Astyanax mexicanus: one gene and its partners. The protein of the gene in region 2 interacts with the protein of the main gene of each other region in a biochemical or structural test. Links are inferred from orthologs where the notes say so. Each region holds a gene or a part of one and is shown on either strand. Other genes may lie near its edges. The genes, in order: mapk8ip1b, mitogen-activated protein kinase kinase kinase 11 and map2k7.

Region 1 (7,025 bases), on a different chromosome or scaffold from region 2:
GATAACACTTCAAAGGTTATCACTTTCCTGTAAAACTGAATTTTACTCACTGTCCTGAGCTAAAGGATTGAACCAGTGAGAAAACACTGTTAAAATTCAATCCAGTTCAAACAGCTGGAAACACAGCTGTATTATCTGGAGCAGACAATCATGAGCAGATTGGCTTCATGCCTAATGACAGGTATAGGCCAGAGAGGTAAAAATGCCACAAAATGCAATCAAATCCTCACAGCAAGGCAGAGCCAATTATAACAGAGCTTGTTTACATGTATTTGAGCATTAAAGGTATAGTAATAGAAACAGTATAACAGTCTATAGTTTTTTTTAGATTAAGGATAAAGATAAAGATAAAGAATTGTCACTATCATCACATCATTATTTGAGAGTAAAGCTGCACCTGCAAATAGTTATATTAATTATATATATAAATAAATACATACATTTAAAATAGGATGCAGAATTTGGGGCCCTTGGTGCTATAAATGATTTGTTTAGGTTGTGACTCTTGTTGTGATGGAATGTCTTCTTATTACTGGGTATAAAAACAAGGCCATTCAGCCTGAGTGACCCTGCAGAGATACTGTATATAGACGGAGCTGAGCAGATGCCCGTGTCTGGGTGAACGCCAGGACGTGGAGAGCTCTGAAACGAGGCCTTCTGTAGTTTATTACAGTAAGACTGCAGGATTAGACCGTACACAGGAAATGCACATTGCGATTAAACTCAGAGACTTCCAGAAACCGTTTGATCCTGGAGTCTAACTCTGCACAGTAGATACACTGTACATGCCGTTTACTTTAACTCCAGTACAGAGACAGATTCCTTCAGAACATTTCTAATTAATATCCGGCCCCTAGTTTACCCAAATCCTGCTGTAGCAGGCGGTTCCACTGTTACATGGCGTATAAGCTTCAGGCTGCCAAAACACATGAAGCTGATGGTCCTGCAGAACTGCTGATCGCTTCAGTGCACCTCGAATAGAGCAAGCATGGATCACGGCAATTAATGACCTCTAAATTTAAAAGCATTTCACTCAGAATCTATAATTTAATGGTACAAAAATAATCCAGCATCATGCATTATTCTGTGGGACGCTTAAATAAGAACTTCAGTTTAAGCAGTTTTACTCTATAGGGCAAAATCTCTGCACATCTCACAGCCAAGTTCCCAACCCCACCAGTAAATTTTTCCACAAACATCTTTGGTTAAATAATTATGCTAAATGCTTCTAAAATGCTCCAATTATATGTGAGAGCTATATTAGCTCTGGCTGCCAATATGACTGAAAAACGATCAATATTTAAAATATTTCATACTTGATAGTCTTTGACAATAAATGGCGATATTAAAAGGGGTTTAAAAGAAAAAAAATTAAATAAGGTGTAAAGGCCTAGAAAGAAAGAAAGAAAAAATAAGGGAAGATAAAGCAGAGGGGAAAAAGGGGAAGGAAGAAAAAGAAAGGAAGACAAAGGGGGAAGGTAAGAAAAAGAAAAAAGGGGTGCTGGGTTGTTTTATTTTGTTTTGTACATTTATTTTTTTGTCTATTATTCCTGTGCTTTTATACTATATATTACTTATTTTTTCCCTTTTTTTCTTCCTCAATAAAAATATATATGATGGCTATGTAAATAGCAAATAGATAACTGTGTATTTAAGTAATACACTTAAATATGTTTTGTCCTTATATTTGATGTTTTTACAACATTTACACTAATCTGTACTCTACAGATCTGTACTCTACTCTGTTATACCTCCAAAACACCACTACTCTCTACACAAACAACACATGTTTGTTTTTTTCCTGGAATTAATTTGCACATTTTGAACAATACACAATATACTGTCAGCCCTAACATCAGCCATAGAGTTTAGGGATTTTACTATTTTATTTTTAGGCCATTCATTATTAATTAGCTAGCCTGCATATGCACTGTTTTCAGTGTATAATGTGATTGAGAATGTGGAGAACCTTCATTTTAATTTATGCATAATTCAATTACCTGTAAACAATGCATTATGTACAATGTACAATATAACAATGTATAACACCACTTCAAAATCATCTGGATGAATAATTAGGAGGTAAACAAAGTAATGTCGTAATGAGTTTTTGGTGTGAAATGTTCAGTTTGTAGAGAAATGTACTGGCTCAGTAGCTACTGTAGTGGTAAATTGAACCAGTCTCTACTACAACAATAACAATAGTAATATATCTATTTTATTTTCCATTTAAACCCACCACTAAACCTACACTATGGGCCCTTTAACACTCCTACTCCAGTATTTGTCAGTTCTGGTGCTGGCATCCCCCGACTTTGTATTTTTTCAGCATTTTAGTGTTTTCTCTGCTTTAACCTCCTGCAGCTTTGACTGGGCCATGAGCTGATCAGGTGGACCCAATTTGGAAAAATACCTTTTTTTTCCTTAACAATGTAGCATAAACTATAAATCGCCATTTCAGTTCAGTATCTATTTATTATCTATTATCGGCTACCTCAGTCACATAATAGCAATATTCATTTTCTTAACACTCTAACAATAATCTGCACTGTTATCATTTATTTCTATTGTATATATATTTGTATTTTTTTATATATTTTTTTCTGCACTGTACCAATCAAACCTGCATCTCATTCCAAAAACACTTCTCCCTTCAAACTTCTGCCTTATCTGCCCATCCCAACAGCAGAGACACACCCATACAGCCTGCAATCTGCTTCCATACACCACCACAAACACTCACACACCCCATAAACCGCCTGTACTCCTCTGATTCCTCCCTTATCAGCGACCCATCGCTATCAACAAGCAGCTGCTACAGCCCAGGTGGGATGGCAGCAAACGAGATGGGACACACACACACACACACACTTACACTTAAACATACTACACACACATTTATCCCCGCAGCAGCAGCGGCTTCTCACCTGCAGCTGGCCGGGGAGTCGAGGCGCGGTGCCCGGGAGCTGGACGCTGCTGCCGGGGTCTTCCTCCGCTCTCTCTCCGCCATGCCTTCCCTCTTCCCATTCATCTGGAGGAGCAGCAGCAGCAGCTCCGTGGAGGGAGGAGGAGGAGGAGGAGGAGGGGGAGCGGGAGGCAGTGAGGGCTGCGGCCGGAGGGAGGGGCTGCTGTCTCAGCTCCCGCTCTCCGCCTCTCCGCCGGGGCTCTCGAGGTAAATATGAGGGACCGTCAGGGTCTAAACAACAGCTCCAGCAGTCTGATCAGCCCGCGCGCGGAGCCGCAGCTGAAACTCCCTCAATAAATACACAGCTGTTTACAGAGGCAGTCTGGTGATAAGAATGTTAATACAAATAAATACGTGTTAAAGAAATATATATGTATATATTACAATTTAGTAAAAAATAATATGGGTGAGATCGCCCCCTGCTGACTAAAAAAACATTAAATTTTTATCATTTTTTGATTTCATAACAGAAATAGATTGGAATTGCTGCACATTATATCAGTGTATCATTGTTTTAGTGTTCCTGTGTTTCAGTGTTTCAGTGTTCTGGTGTTTCAGTGTTCTGGTGTTTCAGTGTTCTGGTGTTTCAGTGTTCCAGTGTTTTAGTGTTCTAGTGTTTTGTTGTTCCAGTGTTTCAGTGTTGTGGTGTTTCAGGGTTCCAGTGTTCTGGTGTTTCAGTGTTTCAGTGTTCTGGAGTTTTAGTGTTCTGATGTTTCAGTGTCCCAGTGTTTCAGTGTTCTGGTGTTTTAGTGTTCTGGTATTTCGTTGTTCTGGTGTTTCAGTGTTCCAGTGTTTCAGTGTTCTGGTGTTTTAGTGTTCTGGTGTATCAGTGTTCCTGTGTTTCAGTGTTCCGGTGTTTCAATGTTCCGGTGTTTCAGTGTTCCAGTGTTTTAGTGTTCCGGTGTTTCAGTGTTCCAGTGTTTTAGTGTTCCGGTGTTTCAGTGTTCTGGTATTTCAGTGTTCCAGTGTTTTAGCGTTCTGGTGTTTCAGTTTTCCAGTGTTTCAGTGTTCTGGTGTTTCAGTGTTCCAGTGTTCTGGTGTTTCAGGGTTCCAGTTTTCAGTGTTCTGGTGTTTCAGTGTTCTGGTATTTCAGTGTTCTGGTGTATCAGTGTTCCTGTGTTTCAGTGTTCCGGTGTTGCAGTGTTCCAGTGTTTTGATGTTGCAGTGTTCCAGTGTTTCAGTGTTCCGGTGTTCCAGTGTTTTAGTGTTCCGGTGTTTCCATGTTCTGGTGTTTCCGTGTTCTGGTGTTTCAGTGTTCCTGTGTTTCAGTGTTCCAGTGTTTCAGTGTTCCGGTGTTTCAGTGTTCTAGTGTTTCAATGTTCCAGTGTTCCATTGTTTCAGTGTTCCGGTGTTTCAGTGTTCTAGTGTTTCAATGTTCCAGTGTTTCAGTGTTCCAGTGGTGTATTAGTAATTTATTTTCTTTAATTGTATCCATTTTCTACCCAGTTTTGGAAGGCCAATTACCCCACCCCTTCTTAGTTCTCCCCATCACTAGTAATGTTCTTCCAACACTAGAAAGGTGCGGACAGATGCACACCCTTTCGGCTACATGTGAAGTCAGCCTCCATGTCCAGGTATACAGGTACCTTCCAGGTATCATAACCAGGTATCTAGTGTGCTTAAAAAAAGGCCCAACCAAACTCTGATGCATCAGCTAACAGACGCCTCTACTGACCAGGATCACAACGGGAGTGATGAGGGGAGAGAGCCCCACCTACTGTACCCACCCAGAGAGAGAAGCAGTATGATCTACTGTACTCTCTCAGACTCTGGCTGCTGATGGGGAAATAGCATGATACAGGATTCGAATCGGTGATATATATAACAAATAAACATGGTGAGAAACGTAGTAAAAATTATAATCATATGCATTTTAAAAACATTCAAACTGACACATTAGTCCTAGACCCTAAACTGCATCATAAACTAAAATATGACACACAATCTACAGCATGCATTAATTTGCTACATTTATCAAACAGGAAAAATCAGTCTTGTGTGTCTGTAATGTTTTTAAAATGTGTACATCATTACATTTTTATAAATACTACGACTGCTGAGACTTGAACTCATTATTATTGATGATTGGTGTATGAGGTAATGTTTCTGTGTGTGTGTGTGTGTGTGTGTGTAAATAAATAAATCATAGCCTGGGTAGAGGGAAGGGTGTGGTAAAGTAGCACAATGACATAAAGACCCCTCTCTCCACACACAAAAACACAATCTCATACACACACACACACTGTGTTTTGGCAGATAGATGAGCCCAGTCACACACACTGTGCCACTTCTCTGTGTATGAGTCCTCTAAATGCCAAGCAGAAACCAAGTTCAATTTAAGTGTGTTTTTTTTTTTTTCAAATCTAAATATCTGGACCAGTGTCCGCACGCAACTTCATGTGTTTGTTACATTCTGTTCATTTGGTCCTGTTAGTCTTATTTTTACACTGCATTTTAGTGAACGGGCTAAAGAATTTTACTACATCTTGTCGTCATCAGTCACAAGGACGGAGTCTCTTTATACTTTATATTTATGTGTTTGTAGAGTGTTTTTATGAGTTCAGTGAGTTGCTTTCCCAGGTGTTGTGGCGAATTCTAGCTCTCTGTCAGAATCTGATTGCTCTTTACATACACAGGCTCTCTGCAGCAGCATGTGTGTAAAAGATAATCCTCACTTTCATTTCTGCTGCTAAATAAGGATTAATCTACTGTTACAGTAAATAAATTAATTCCCAGTCTAAGCGTTTGTGTTCATACTGCTGCATGACCGGACCCAGAGCACACCTTTTGCGTGAAACAGTGGTCTGATAGTGGGTGCAGGTGAATTATGGGAGTTGTAGTGAGTGACTGATAGTGGGTGCAAGAGAATTATGGGAGTTGGAGTGAGGGCTGAAAGTGGGTGCAGGTGAACTATAGGAGTTGCAGTAAGGGGCTGATTAATTGATTGTTTAATTTGGTTTGATTAGTTTTGGTTTTACACTGACTGCAATTTAGCGAGCAGCTTAAAGAGCTTTGATAAGTAAGTTCGGTGAGTTGCCTTTCCAGATGTTGTGCCAGAAACCGCAGCAGAACCAGTGTAAAAGGTTCTCCTTGGATTCCTTTTATTTCTGTTTATAAATAAGGGTTATTCTACAGTTACAGTATTCTACAGCATACAGTTGTAGCCATACTGCTGTGTGACGCATCTGCACATATCCAAGAAGAGATTTCATCACAACACCTTTTCTTTTTCTTCTTCCATTGTAAAATGGGTGACGCTAGCTTGACTCAACTTCCCATAATTGTTCTGAAAGTAAACCACCCGAAACATGAAAAGCTGATCTGGACCGACAACGCCTTTTTTGGTCAGACCAAATTTTGGACCTACTATTGCACTACTATCGCCTGATTTTAATTCAGATAAAACTAAAAAGTAGATAGGTGTGAAATCAAATCTCTGAAGTTACAGGACTTAGGATTTGCTGCTTATGTCTTGATGCCAGATACAACAGAACTCCTTCAGAGGCCCAAAAAAAAGCCTGAAAATTGATGCCGACAAAGTGATAATTTGGCTTGTGTACATTCACATATAATAATCGGGAGGATATTTTAAGAGCTCTCTGTTCTGATAAAGTGACTGTCTATTACATAAATCCTAAATCAGGGGCCTCTGTGGACGTTCACCATTTGAAAGCTTTTATTGTGTAACTGGATTTAGTGAGAATCGTCACAGAACGTGTAAAACTGAAACACTGACGTGACTCAGTGATTTTGTTGTTGTCAGGAATTACACTAACGTTATGTAAAGTAAATGAGCAAATAAATCCTCTGAGCATCTGTCCTGTTACTGATGGGGCAGCATTAGTAGGGCAGCTGTCTCTGAGACTGAAGCACAGAGTAACCGGTCTGATTCCGGGGTTTTCTTTAGTTTTGGAACTGACTCCTTTAAATCTTGTCCTTTTAGTGTATTACTTAAACTGATTCACAAATCTGAATAAAAACAGTTTTGCAGTTTATATTTTGTATGTTTTATTGAAGAATGTAATTTTCCCAAAGTAAAACAAATACAAAAAAATAGCAA
Region 2 (7,586 bases):
TTGGATGGAAGGGTACATGCATGGAGTTATTGTTCTGCATATTGTCAGTGTCTGAAAAGTTTAATGCCCTGAAAAGCTCTCTCACAAAGTTATTGCACAAAAAGTCATGAATATTGTGCCTGGTGCCTGAGGCATTAAGTTCCCATAGTACTGAAAAGTTTTTGGCCTAAACTGTTCATAGTGGCTGAACTATTGCAGGGTGTTGTAAGGCTAAATAGTTCTCTATTAAGATGTATTTTTCCAGATTTGGCTACCTTTAGCACCACTGTAAGGAAATCAAAGTGAGTATCTCTACGATTAACCATTTCACACCAACTCTGACTCTGTGAATGAGTGTGAATGTAATGGTTTACACCTATCGCTTGAACTACATTTAAGAACTTGAAGATCCCCCTATAGAGTGCATCACAAAGCCCAATATCACAGTAACAATACACAGACAATAGCTTGCAATGTGGGTTACTTACTGTTGTTTGATTTGAGGTCACGGTGGATGACAGGTACTATGGCCTCATTGTGCAGGTACAGCATCCCTCGAGCGATCTGCACGGCCCAGTTCACCAGGACGTGCGGCGGGATGCGTCTGCCGGCCAGGGCCCGGCTCAGCGGCCCACCGGAAGCGTACTCCATGATGAGGCACAGGTTGGGCTCCTGCAGGCACACCCCTTTGAGGGCGATGATGTTGGGATGCGTAAGCATGGCGAAGAGTCTTGCTTCGTTGCGCACATTCTGCGCAGTCACACTAATATCCTCATCCGGATCCTGCCGAGCTGCCTTGACGGCCACCAGCCCGCCTCTCCAGGTGCCCCGGTACACTTTCCCAAAGCCTCCAACCCCTATGACCTCCTCTAGGCTCAACTCCCGAAAATCCACCACCTCAGGCTCAAACTGTAGCTCGTGGGCCACGTCGCCCACACTAGGGGGCAGTTTACCATAGCCACTGGGCTTGAGCGAGACATAATTGGAGGGGAAGATGCCCACCTTGTTGTTCACCTTGCCCGCCCACCAGCCCTCGTCTCCAGACACCTCAGAGTCCAAAGACAGGACCTCCACAACATCTCCCTTGCGCAGGGTCAGCTCATCCTTTCCTGATGCTTCATAATCGAACAAAGCGGTCCACACCGGGTTGCTGAAGCTCCCTTTTTGAGAGTCCTGCAGGCTTTTCCAGGGCACCAGAGGGCCGCGGGTAAATATGCTCTTCAGCGGCTCCATGTGTGGTTCTCTGTGCACAACGTGGTTTAAATGGCGACTTGATTTGTCGAACTGTGTACTTCCCGTCGCCTCTCTCCCGATGCGACCCCTCTGGAAGGTTCATGAGGGCCTTCTGCATCCAGCTTCAAGCACAAGCAGTGCAAGGTCACACAGCCATCGCCAGCCAGAGCACTCCACAATGACACCCCAACAACTGTGGACATGGATATCACAGGCCTACGGCTCCATGGAAGTTTGGGGCAGGCTTTAGTCAGGCTTTAGGCCAAAAGAAAGTTAACCAAAGAATGGGTTGTGTGTGGGAGAACCTGGAACCTGGACACCAACTGGTCTCCATGCACTTACGTACTTGAGCTCACTTCAGCTTCTGCTTCTTACAGAGCTGAAAGAACATGGAGAGGAATGGAGGAACATACGGAAGCCCAATATAGACAAAAAACACAATGTGTGATAACACCGTTGTGTATCCCATTAAACTAGTTTCTGGCACTTGGCTTGGCTGCAATCGGGCCTCTTACGATAAACCTTATCTCTCATATCACGATAATGCTAAAAATCTAATTTATCATACTAGCCTGTAACAGGAAGAACTCCCTCTTGTGCCGCACAAAGATAAAGCATTTTGGGTTTGCTGTTATTTAAAAAGTTATCACAGCCCTTTACTCTAAAAACTCATATTGCGATAATGAAGAAAATATGATTTATCGTACAGTCCTCTGTTGCTGCAAGCAAGCAATGCAATTCAGGGTTATTTAAGTAGTTATCGCAGCTCTTTTGTTTGTTTGCCTCAGGTGTTTATCGTGAAATCTCTTATTGTGATTAACTTTAAAAAGCGATTTATCGTACAGACATAGCAGTCTGCAGGTAATGCAATTTTTTTTATTCTGCTGATATTCAAGGCTTTATCGAAGCTGGTTCAAAAATGTGTATCAGAATAACAATTAAAAATACACTATCATACAGCACTAGCCTCTGTTGCTGCAAGCAGGTAGTGCAATTTTCAAGGAGCTATTCAAGGAGTTCATAAAAACAATATTGATAAAAATACGATTTAGCGTACTACCCTAGAAAGTTTGCTCATATTTGAGGCCTTATCGAAGCTCTTTAGAGAGGGTGTTTATTGTTTATCCTTTAGCCTTATATTTATAACTTCAGAACCAAAAAAACAGGTCCAGGATCTGCTGACCATTCAAATCTCACAGAAGATAAACTGATGGAGTCCAAAGTCCAACACGGTAGGAGTATAAGGATATCCACAAATCCAAAAACTAAATCTTCAGGATAAATATGAAGGTGAGGAGCAGGGGAGCATGTGGCTAGTTGTCCATTTTGACTTGTCAGTATTTTTAGTCGTCCAGTGCTCTGGTCAGTCCGAGCAGGAAGCGCAGAGGCGCGCAGAAGAATGGCAGGAAAGGAGCGCGCCAGAGAGAGAGAGAGAGAGAGAGAGAGAGAGAGAGAGGGGGCCAGAGAGAGGAAAAAAGAGTTTATAAGAGACCAGGATTTTTTAAAAACGTTTAAAAACTCTGTGAAACGCAGTAAAACCCAGTCTTACTTCTCTCCATTCCTCACAGACCCTCAGACTCACAGTGTCTCTCTCTGTATCTCCTCTCTCTCAGCGCTGGAACTCCTCAGATCAGACTTCTTCTGAACAGGAAGAGTTTCCTCCTCCACTTCGCTCCTGTTTACAGAGGTGGTCCGCACCCCGCTCTCTCTCCGCGGCTCCGCGCGGCTCTTCACCTCCTCAGCCCTTAAACAGGTGTGTGGTCCCGTGTGTCTCCGCCGCTGTAGCCCCGCCGCTCCGCGCGCTCTCTCCCCCCGGGCTCCGTACAGTCGCTCCGCTCTGCGCCGCTGCTGCCAGTACGCAGTCCGGAGGGTGGGGTTTCGCTTTCTGACTCTGGCCGCTGTCCAATCCGCGCACTCGCGTCCTAACTAGAGCACCACAGCTCCAAACCCTAGGCGCTGCTTCGAGACGAGCGCTCGCTGCGCGCGCACCTGCTGCTGAGCAGTGATGGTCACGTGGTCTCCAACTTTAAAAAAAAAAAAAGTTGTGTTTTTATGGTCTCTCTTACATTAGTTTTAATCATGAATTTGATTTGGAAATCTTGCGTTACATTTTCTATTCATAGAGAAAAATAAAGTACATATATAAGGGCTAGGGGATATTGTAAAAAATAAAATAAAAATACAGCTCAGGAAAAAAAAAGAAATTAAGAGACCACTTCAGTTTCTAAATCAGTTTCTCTGATTTTGCTATTTATAGGTTAATGTTTGAGTAAAATGAACATTATGCTACTTTATAACTTTATGCTACTACTAGTGCAAAGATTCAAGCAGTTCAGCTTGGTTTGATGACTTGTGATCATCCATCTTCCTCTTGATTATATTCCAGAGGTTTTCAAATGGGCAAAATCAAGAAAAATCATCATTAAGATATATGAGAAATTCTCGATTTTTTAGCCAAAATATAATATATTATATCAGCATTTCTCAGATGTGTGCAATTTTTGATTATTAAAATGTATATTTTAGCTAAAATGGGGGGGGGGGGACATATGCATATATATATATATATATATATATATATATATATATATATATATATATATATATATATATATATATATATATATATGTTATTTTGAAATTCAACAGCAAATTTCATCACCTCAGTGTATAAAAGCATTGTTAAAACTCAAATTTATGAATTACCTCATTTCATTTTCAAAAAGTCAGGTATATTTTATTCAAGAATGGAAAAAGAAAATACAGATCCTATACCTGGACAGCTCTCTATTGTTTGGGAGGTTTAAGTATTAATAAGGGGGTGTAATTCGCGCTCTGGTGTTGCTCGATATTTATAACTACTGTGTTTGTGGTTATGAGCTGAGAGTTTTCAGGTTGTTCAAGTTATAGATAGTAATCTCTACTTCAGATCACCAAGCAGATAACAGCAAATAGAAAATATGTTTACGGTATATAATGCACAATACAGATAAATATGTACAGTCACGTGAATAAGTATTAAAACTGTGTTTTTTGTACTTCAGCTTATTTATATTACTTTAATAAGTGGCCAAGGTGGGATCAAAGGGATTTAACAGAAATATCATATTACCCATTTAGAAAGTTTCTCTATTTTGACAGGCACAAAGATCATTGAACAGTTAACAGAGTCATACATAGTAGAGGCACTGTTATGACATATCTTGATTGGCTATTGTCATAAATATGTATGTATAAGTAAGTCAGTACACTTCCGTGATGCAGCATTAATGAATAAAAAAGTACACTGAGACCTTAAAGCAACATATGCTGCCCCTAAGACCACATATTTTCCAAGGGCATCCATGCTTTTTTACAGCAATGCAATGCAAAACCACATGCTGCACACATTACAAACACATGTCTGAAGCATTTTAAACACTGCAATAACTTGTGTAATAAGTTATGACCAGAACTTGTTTTTTTTTTCAAACTTATTTACTTTTTTAATACAGTCCACTTTTTATTAAAACAACCCGCAAATGCCTGAAAGTCAGTACATGGTTCAGTATGAAACATTAGCAGACCCACTTGACTCCAATAGCACAAATATCCCTTAGCATACCAAAAATACACATAAACCAATTTATTCACACCTGATCTCAGACCAGTGCTCTCCAAGACACTAGGGGGCTGTGTCTGACTCTTCTTGTTTGGAGAAAAAGTTGATTCTCCATGGTTGAATGCTTTGATGGCTTTCCACAGTGGCCCTTTGTTTTGAGGGTGAATCCCAAATCATTCACTGAACCCATAGTTATAGTCATAAGATTCCCATAGTGCACACTCATCTATACATTCTACAAAACACCAGGAGTTGGAAGCTTCCCAGTTCATTACAATAGAATCAATGTTTGATTATTATTAAACTATTTAATATCACTATTTATTTAAAGTACCATTAATACCCTTAAAATAATCTATGTTTTCCCTCTCTTTTAAGAACATATCTTCACTCTTTCTCTATTTCTTTCACACACGCGCACACACACAACACACACACAGCTGAGTCATCATTTCTTCAGGAAGGATGCAGTTGTTTTTGTGGCCCAGTAGCTGCCCTGAGTGTTACAATATATAAAAAGAGGAACAGATAGAGAATGGCCCGTGTATGAACACACACACACACCGACACACACACACACACCGACACCGACACACACACACACCGACACACACACACACCGACACACACACACACACACACACACACACACACACACACACACACACACACACCCAGACAGACAGACAGACAGACAGACACACACACATTAATGATTGAGTCTTGTTGCAGAAATTAACAAGAGACAACAGACACAACTGTTTTGTTGCTTCAGTATTTCTTTGAGTGTTATTATAGTTTCACACTATTTCATTGTGTGTCTGTCAATTCAAGGTAAACATGAACAATAGGCCAGTAAATACAGATTATCTGTATCTGCAGTTTAGTTAATTAAAAAAACTCAAATGTAGCAAAAGTTCTCTTTTGTTATGTTATTTTAAATAAATTATGACCCTGGAAAGTAACAATCACAGCCACAAATCTGAAAAAGTTGGGTCAGTGTGGAGAATGCACATTGCACAAAATTTGGTCAACTTTAATTCATTTGTTTATGTTTATCTATTCCTGTATCTTAATGCAAAACAGAAGCCTTATGTGAAAATGTTCTAGAAGTGGCGCCTTCTGAGCTTTGAGGCATTGGAGATGAATGCCGTGATCATGCAGTGGAAATGTGTATTCTGGTTACATGTAAAAAGTATTTCAAATCTTTTGGGAAAGAAATGGACACTGTGTGCTTCAGACTGTTATCAGCTACAAGCCCAAATGTCATGGTCTGTAATGATAGAGTTTTCTCAGTGCATTTAATACATAAAATGGCATTTTCGACTAATGAGACGTACAATAATTTTTCAGCAAGACAATGCAAAACAGCATGCTGCACACATTGCCATGGCATGACTAGAAGTCAAGGGTACAGGTACTGGACTATTCTGCCTGCAGTACTGATCTGTCCTCAATAGAGTGGATTTACTCAACCATTTACTCTAGACATCTACGCAGATGACTGTAAAACATAGACCTAGTAAATTACTGGTTACCAGAGTGAGCTGTCACTGGCTCCAGTAATAACTAGCCAGGTATACATGAGTTCAGCAGCTATGTGTTTACATTGCTTTACAGTAAAATATGGGCTAAGTATAAATTGCTGTTTGTTAGTTGTCAAAAGTGAAACTCTGGCCTAAGCACAAGGTGATAAATTACACTAGAAGGCAGAAGATAGGAGAATAGATAGAACTTCCAGCAGTTTATGTTGGCAGAACAGCCAGAAACACTTCAGTTCTCACAGAAACAAAAGCCAAAGAATGTGAAAGAACTAAGGTCACACACAGTATTATGAGAGATATAAAGACCAAACTGAACATTAAAGACGAGCTTAGGCCATCAAAACCCATCTATCAGCAAAATCTGGCCTGAGCTTGATTCTTCAGCAGAGGAATTATGTTACAAAAATGATAGTATATATAGTATCATAGTCCAATATAACTGAAATACTAGTGTTGCTAACTAACAATGGACTGGTTTCAGATTTCTTCAACGTGGTGCTGACAGAAACCATAAAGGTCACCATGACTTTAACACAAAAATATCCATGATATTTTCTATCCAAAACCACCTGTGAATTTAGACACGTCTACTCAGTTTTATGTAAAATGTTAATGATGGTAAAATAATGGAAAATTTGAAAGAAAGAAAAAAGAAAAGAAATCTAGGTGTAAATATACTGATTCCGTACAATCCATACACTTCATATATGGAAACTACACTCCCAAAACTGCTAGTTTCTGCAATGTCACAAATGCAAACTAATTTACATCTCCTACTTTTCCATCTTAACACGACTTAGCCCCACTCACGCGGTAGTTAGTAGAAGAGTTTCAGCTCCTGAAGCTTTCTAAATGAGGCACAACCAATCAAAACAGAGCTCTGTCTTAAAGAAACACTATACAGTGTTTATCATAAAATAATATCACACTCACCACACAACCATTTCAGAAGGCCAGACCACACATCCATGTGATTTTCCAGCTGGATTAGCGTAGTGCAGTTTAACGACTTTCCCAAACGGATTAATGCAAAAACCAGCAATTATCTGGAGCTAATCTCAGTCATCAGAGCGTGACTCACTCACTGAGGTTAATTACATTAGTACAACTGATGTGGGTATAAAACAGCATCTGTGCTGTAGAGGCCTGAAACAAGTTAGCTGTAGAGTTTAAACAGCGGCAACACTCCTCAGACAACAAATTCTCCGGCTCTTGTGACCCACATTAAC
Region 3 (7,975 bases), on a different chromosome or scaffold from region 2:
TGTATTTATTTTTGAGTACCTGCATCTGTTTTTTTGTGATCTGTAGCTGTTTTGTTTACAGCAAAAATGTTATTGTTAAAAAATTTCTTTTAAATAATGCGCCTAGGGACCTAAATGTTCTGCACAGCTTTGTGCAAATGCCCATGTTCAGAAATATGTAAACAAATGCTGATATCAAACACACGGAAGGTTACACACCAGACTAAAGCGTTTAGAGAGAGAACAGATTACATTTAAGAAGACACATCAAATATTATCTATAATTACACAACCTACCCAAGACCAAGATAAACTTTATGCCCAAATGTATCACATTATTGAATTTAGCTACTGTCAAGGTTTGCAAATTGCTGACACAGGCACGTAACAGCTTGTAGATCCTCTATAATTCACCCAACACCTTTGAGATTTGTCAGAATAAATCAAATAATCCGCAACTGATCATATAACATCAGCACCTTACCTCACTATTGCTCTGATGGCTAAACATAATCAAATTCTCACATCAATGCTCCGGCAATTAGTGTGAAAGCCTTTTAGAAGACTACTTACTGCTGCAGTAACTGACCTGTCTCTACTGTTCATGGAAGAAAGTGTTCTTTCTAGATTTTGGAGGTGGAGGAGGAGATCTGCTGTAAGGTTTTGATAGCAATCAGTGACACAAGCATTAATGGGCTAATGGGTTGATCATGTTTGATGATTACCACTGTTCCTCATTCCCAACTCATGCTAAAAGTATTAGATAAAGAATTATTATTCCAGAGAACACAGTTCTTCCACTGCCACACAGTTTAATGCTGTGAGGCTTAACACCCCTCTTGTCAATGCCTGGTATTGGGCATGGTGCCAATAGGTTCATGTTTATCTGCTGCAGAGAATCTTATTCCATTGGCAATAGTTCTCCACACAAACTAAACACACTGTGGCGTGTGTGCATTTGCACATCTGTGTCAGCAATAGGTACAGCTACTTGCGGTAGCTAGCTAAATACATTCATCAGAAGTGGACTCCAACATTTAGCCAAATGTTTTTGCACCCCAACATTTAGACAATACCTTGTCGACACAGCAATACTAACTAAACATATCTACAGTTTACCATTTAGCCAATGCGTTTGGGCTTTAACATTCAACCAAAATATTGTGATCACATCTCTACCAGCCAAACATTTTTGTATTTCGTTATTTAGTCAAACGTTTCTGGACTCCAACATTTAACCAAATGTTTTTAAACTCCAACATTTAGCCAAAAGCTTCTGGACATAATTATATTAACAAAACATATTGGTTTCATTTAACCAAATGTTCTTTGACCCCAACATTTAGTTAAATGTTTTTGCACCCAAACATTTAGCCAATAACTTGTTGACACAGCTATACAAATCAAACATATCTGCATTTCACCATTTGCACAAACCATTTGGGCCGCAATAAATAGCTAAAAGCTTATGGATACATTTCTACTTACTGAACATTTAACCAAAAATTTGCCTCACAATTCTATCAAATAAACCCATGTATGTTTCACCATTTAACAAAATTCAGCTAAATGTTAATGATCTAAAACATTTAGTCAAAAGTATGTGTTTCACCATTTACCCAAATGATTTTAGACCCCAATATTTAGCCAGAAGCTGCTGGACACAATTCTATTAAACAAACATATGCGTTTCACCCTTCAACATTCAACCAAAATATTGTGAACACGGCTCTAATGTTACCAGTCAAACGTTTTGTTTTGTATTCCACTATTTAGTCATATGTTTTTGGACTCCAACATTTAACCAAATGTTTTTGTTATACAAAATTGAGCCAAAAGCTTCTAGACACAATTCTATATACCATATGCATATATGTTTCACCATTTAACCAGATGTTCTTGGGACTCCAACATTTAGCTAAATGTTTTTTGACCCCAACTAACTAATACCTTGTTCACACAGCTATACTAACTACACATATGTGCATTTTGTCACTTAGCCAATGCTTTTAGGCTCTAACATTCAACCAAAATATTGAGAACACAGCTCTATCATTTCATATCATCTATCACCTAAATTTCCTTTGGGATAAATAAAGTATGTATGTATGTATGTATCTATCTATCTATCTATCAGCCAAACGTTGTTTGTATTCGAATGTTTTTTGGACTCCAACATTAAACCAAATGTTTTTGACCCCAATATTTAGTCAGAAGCTTTTGGGCACTCTTATACTCTTCTATTTTTACAGTAACTGCACTCTCTCGCTAGTTAGTTACTAGGTTACGTTTTTAGCATTAGCATGGTAGCTAACGTTACCAGGTTTATGTCAGGCGTCTCGTTAGCTGGGGTTAGCTAGCTAGTGGCTATCTTGAGAAGGGTCAGAAAACTGAAGCGAAAAACGGATTCGCTGCCACACAGATGATTCAAAATGAATTTACAGAAAATTAATTTTCAGAGTTGATAATATTATACAGATATTACGTTATCCTAAAGTCCTCAGTTAGCCAGCTAACGCTAGCTAACCTAACGATACTAGCTGGAGTCATATTGTGAGGCTTGGGACGCGGGCCTGCTAATCAATTTAGCCAGTCAGTCAGTCAGTCAGTCAGTCACTTAGCTGGCTGGCTAACGGTTATTTAGCTAGTTAGCTCGGTTAGCTAGCGAAATGACCACGAATTAGACATTCTCCGCTATTATTCTTCACCTACAGGTTTATATATGTGTACCCAGTAGGCTCTACTCAGCGCCCGCGCTCTGCCAGGTCTTTAACCAGCTGTCAGTCTGATCAGAGCTCCGTGTTTGTTTATGTAGCCTGGTTAAGCTAACGCTGCTCCCCCCGATTCCGCCTCTCTCTCCACCACGGCGGCTCCGCAGTCTCCTCCGGACACTTACTCGGCCTGGGTCGGGAGCGCTGTGGGCTCATGTCGATGCTGAGGTCGATCCGCCTCCTCGCTTCTTTATTCTCCTGCTTCAGTTTCTCCTCGATTCGGGAGAGTCTCTGTTCCAGCGACGACATCTTGGAAAAATTCAGCAGCACCATCGAGCGGCCCCGGCTCTAAAACTCGCACACACACACATACACTCCCCCCTGGCGACGGTGCTGGAGGACAGCAACACACACCGACTCACACCAACACACACACTGCTGTAAAGGGTGCAACGATTCAGTAGCAGGGAACCACACGATACGATATTATCACGATACGATATTATTATCACAATAAGATATTATTATCACGATACGATTTTATCCCTATACAATCTTATCACGAAACGATATTGTTATCACGATACAATATTAATATCACAATACGATATTATCACAATATATCACGATACAATATTAATATCACAATTAGATATTCATATCACAATTAGATATTATCACAATATATCACGATACAATATTATTATCACAATACAATATTAATAGCATTAAACAATTTTATCACGACACAATATTATTACTATACAATATTATCTTAATATGATATCTTAAGAATACAACATTATCACGATACAATATTATCAAAATAAAATATTATCACAATACAATGTTACAACAACACGATATCACAATGTAATATAATCTTGATACAATATAATGGTACGGTACAATATCAAAATACGATATTATAACAGAACAATATAATCACAAAACAATATTTTCACAATATGTTATGTTATTATACAGCTTCTATGGGGCAGCATGGTGGCTTAGTGGTTTGCACGTTCAGCTTCCAGAGCTGGGGTTCTGGGGTCAAGTCACAATCTGGGTGTAGTTTCCATATTCTCCATGTGTGCGCGTAGGTTTCCTCCGGGCACTCCAGTTTCCTCCTACGCTAAATCGGATACTCTAAATTGCACTGATGTGAATGTGTGTACGACTGTATACCCAGATCCTAGGTCAAATTCTGCAGTGCCAGATGCTGACAACTTAGGGAGATGTTGATTTCATTTTCCAGCAGGACACACTGCCAAAGTACCAATTGGTCTTATATAATATTCTAATTTTCTAAAATACTGACTTTTGGGTTTTTTATTAGCTATAAGCCATAACCATCAACAATAAAAGAAATAAACACTTAAAATAGATCACTCTCTGTGTAATACATCTATATGATATGAGTTTTACATTTTGAAGTGAATTACTGAAATAAAGTAACTTTTCAAAGATATTCTTCTTCTCCACCCTTTTTTATTTCTTTTTCATTTCTTCTCCCCAACCCTTTTTTTGTTTGCACCTATTTATTTGTTTTGTTGCAAAAAATATTTGTTTTCCACCCATTTTCATGCAATATTTATTTTTCTCTTCATTTTATTTGTTTTCTGTTTAATTTTGTCACTAGTTGTCAGGAACTCTCCTTTTCTTATCCTAACCATTTCCAAGAGAATTTCCTTGGGAGATTTATTTATTTATTTTTCCACCCATTTTCTGTTTTTTTTTTTGGTGATTTCTTTATCCACGAGTCCTTTTACATTTGGTGTTGGACATTTTTCTTTAATAAATAATTTGATTCCAGTCAGTTCATGGAAACAATTTTACAGACTAAAATTTGGACATCAAATATTGCTCAAATTTGTATAAGTATTTAAACCTCTTAAAATGTATAGAGCTTCATTTATCCTATATATTTTATTACCTACCTTAAATACAAGCCACATATTGTTTTTGATATGTAAGCCTTTTTACAATCATTTAACAATACTGATATTTCATTATTTTATATAAAACTTTACCCAGGAAAAAGATTACTCAGGAACGTAAATCCAAAATGACAGAGGTGCCAAAATTCACACACATAAGAAAATAACACACACAAACACAGCAGTCTTATCAACAAGTCTTTATAAATACAGCTCAACACAGAGTTCTGATGAATTGTAATATAATAGTATACTGGACACAGTCATACCAATTCATCAACACTGACCTGCAAACCACAGGAAAATCGGACAACAGTTTTACTGTCCACATAAAAGCAGTGTTGTCGTCTCTGATTCGAAGATGGGTAATAAACAGACATTGATTTTGGAGGCCAAAGTTCATATTAAAGTTTGTGCTACATGTTTATCAGTGTATTCATTTTTTGTGGTATTGAAGTATGATTTTTCATTATTTTGCAGAATTAATCCCTTCATGACAAATTGCAAAATCCAGTGTTTCAAAGTAGAGAATTAAATAAAATGGGCTTAAAATGCTAAAACAGGAAAACAATATTGGGACTAATTTCCACCAAAACAAACTGAAACATTTATACTCCTTTCCTAGTTTCTGTCAGAAATTACACAGCCTTGTAGTTTTTAAAGTTAATTAGGTCCAACTCTTAAAATAAATCCTTCAGTAGTTTGTTTTCAATTCATTCTTTATCCACCACTTTGATAGTCACCATCAACAATAATCTAAATGCCTTTCTAAAGCTTGTATCTGCATATTGATATAATATATATAGTTTTCCAAACGTAACTATGAATGTATACAAAATTACCTTAAAAAAAGCTTTGAACAGTTAGGAACTGGTAAAGTTGACATATTGGAGATGCAACATTTTTGTAGATGCCTCTAATGGCTTGTAACTTATTCACTCACGCATGTTTAGCAAGACTGATTGTGGTGCTCCACATCAATGAGACTTTGTGTCCTTGTAACAGAATACTTAAAGTGGCAGTCCGTATTATTTTGTTTCTCAACTGAAAGCTGAAGCATTTCTGAGTGGAGAAGGGGTAAAATATTGTATTAAATGGTACCAGTGCGCTGGAACAACCATCCCCCCTAAGCCTAATATATATTCATTCTAAAAACTGGGTGTCTGGTCGCTTTTCGCTGGAGTTCTTCTGGCCATGTCACGCGTCTTTATGTCAAATGTACAGCCTCTAAAAGACGATCCGGCTCAGTTTTACTAAATACAAGCAGCTGGTGGAGCAATGGAGACTTTAGAAGGGAAAACTCTATAATTCACATTTTGACTAGCTAGAATAATATTAAGAGAATAAAATCTTTTAGACGTTTTACTAATTTTACTGACGAACACATAAAGAGATGTGCTGTAGCTGATCTTTAGGGTTACTGGAAAGGCATCAAAATGACTGTTAATGTCAACAATGCAGCAGATTAAGCTGAAGTTGAAAAACACTGAAGGGCTCTGCCTTTAAAAAAGTGTTGAATCAGTGTCTAGTACTTGCTTAAAACTTATCCAGAACAATATTCAGAGATGCTCTGTCAATGTACTAAACTGAATCTCACCATTAAAGGCACTGTATACGATTTTTAATACACCAATACACATTTTAAATAATTCAGCGAATGTTTCCTCACAGTTCCCTAACTCCCTGGTCTGTTTATGTGTTGGAAAAGATTCTGACATTTTGGTGCCTTACTTTGTAAATGGGAAATGGGCCACACGACATTATTAGGGGCCATTTAAGTGTGCGCCGAGGACTGGGAAAGGCATCGGCATGTGTAAACGTTGGTGAGGTATTTAAAAGATTGCAAGATTTCTGAACATCCTGAAGGGAGGAGTTTGTTTGTTTGTTTTGCACACCAACAGTTTGGTTCAAACACCAAGAATTGTTCTTCAGAATAATATACAGCACCTTTAATGGTCATTCTTTAACCCATTTAATCCTAAATGTGGGCACAATTCCATATTCAGGTTGTTCTTGTTGTTGTTCTCAAACATGAAACCTTTCAGTATAAGCAGTGTACGTAGCATTAGCTTGTATTAATCTTGACCTCATGATTCTCCGTACTGTATGTATATATATATATATATATATATTCATTCATCATCACATCACTTCATCATCATTGTCCATTCAAGGCTTCTTTTTTCAGTTCCTTTGACTAACATACTTAAAAGATTCTACGTAAAATTCTCAAAAGGGACAGAGTATAAAGTTAAGGCATTTTCAAAATCCAAAATCACAGTGTGTAAACGAGTGTCACTGGGCCAGGTCAGAATGGCAGCTGCTTGCTGTCCCGTTCTTCTACTGATGAACTTGTTTGACGTGAAAGGCAGAAGTGAGAGACAGAAAGAGGCAGTATAAGAAAGACTACATTGAAGTTTTTCTTTTTTTTTCTCAGCTGAAATTCACATTTCTATGTGTCATTATCGTTATATTGAGAATATGCCAGACAGCCTTTTACATCCCCTCTCTTGATGAGTAGTCCACATAATCTCCATCTCTAAATATTTTCTCTTCATTAGCGTAATCCGTTCTCCATCCCAGAGTAAAAACAAAAACTCCACACATTTACTGAGCTATAGTAGTCTCTTCAATCTTCATTCTGGCATCCATAAAAAAAAAAACCAAGCCATCCACAATGGCCGAACTTTTACTGTCACAGTGTAGTGGTAATGGTGCAGATCCGCCGTGATCGCAGTCAAAGAGATAATAAACATCCCTGGACGACTCCTGGACTGTACAACCTTTGATATCTCTGACAACTTCCTTCTGAGAATTTCAACAGAGGTCGGAGACGTATTCGAAGTCACGGAAGCTGTCCTGGTCTTTGCGCGAGAGCGTGCGAGGCTCCCTTGGCGGTGTGAGGGCAGGAGCTTCCGCCGTGAATTCTTCGTCAAAGTTGCTGACGTCTTCTTTTCCTCCGATGGAAGGAACGAAGGGGGGAGGGAGTTTGCGAAGGAGAAGAGCCTCCCAATCCATATTCTGAAAGAAAGTAAAAGATGGCGATGACGCGTTATATCAAAAACTCTTACAATTCCAAAGCAAAAATTGAGATTGCACAACTTGCTTAGAGGTGAATGGTTCAGGTTTGAAAGGTAGTGGTATCTGGAGAATTTGGTATTTTATGCCTATTGAAAGCTCCGTTCTACTGCTGTCCCTACATATCTGCAAATGTGTTTGGACATGCATATGCAGACATTCACTCAAATGTCTGCAAACATAATGAAACCATGAAGTGAAAAATGTGTACTAGGTGGCAGAGTCCAAGTCAGACAGTACAGGAAACAAGGAGGCATGTCTTGAGCT

Evidence for each region.
Region 1: the proteins of mitogen-activated protein kinase kinase kinase 11 (region 2) and mapk8ip1b form a complex in vitro, tested with the Homo sapiens proteins (2 studies listed by BioGRID). The link is inferred for Astyanax mexicanus from reciprocal best matches to the Homo sapiens genes MAP3K11 and MAPK8IP1.
Region 3: of the proteins of mitogen-activated protein kinase kinase kinase 11 (region 2) and map2k7, one has a biochemical effect on the other in vitro, tested with the Homo sapiens proteins (2 studies listed by BioGRID). The link is inferred for Astyanax mexicanus from reciprocal best matches to the Homo sapiens genes MAP3K11 and MAP2K7.

What each region holds. Positions count from the first base shown.
Region 1 is NC_064423.1:8,535,914-8,542,938, forward strand, and holds the start of mapk8ip1b (C-Jun-amino-terminal kinase-interacting protein 1), read right to left. Parts: upstream 3,047-7,025; 5' UTR 3,032-3,046; coding exon 2,928-3,031; intron 1-2,927. UniProt on the Homo sapiens protein: The JNK-interacting protein (JIP) group of scaffold proteins selectively mediates JNK signaling by aggregating specific components of the MAPK cascade to form a functional JNK signaling module. Required for JNK activation in response to excitotoxic stress.
Region 2 is NC_064432.1:18,604,438-18,612,023, forward strand, and holds the start of mitogen-activated protein kinase kinase kinase 11, read right to left. Parts: upstream 3,088-7,586; 5' UTR 1,213-3,087; coding exon 468-1,212; intron 1-467. UniProt on the Homo sapiens protein: Activates the JUN N-terminal pathway. Required for serum-stimulated cell proliferation and for mitogen and cytokine activation of MAPK14 (p38), MAPK3 (ERK) and MAPK8 (JNK1) through phosphorylation and activation of MAP2K4/MKK4 and MAP2K7/MKK7.
Region 3 is NC_064428.1:26,978,159-26,986,133, forward strand, and holds the start of map2k7 (dual specificity mitogen-activated protein kinase kinase 7), read right to left. Parts: upstream 3,077-7,975; 5' UTR 3,024-3,076; coding exon 2,876-3,023; intron 1-2,875. Other genes in the region: pkn1a (serine/threonine-protein kinase N1), read right to left, coding at 7,448-7,651. UniProt on the Homo sapiens protein: Dual specificity protein kinase which acts as an essential component of the MAP kinase signal transduction pathway. Essential component of the stress-activated protein kinase/c-Jun N-terminal kinase (SAP/JNK) signaling pathway.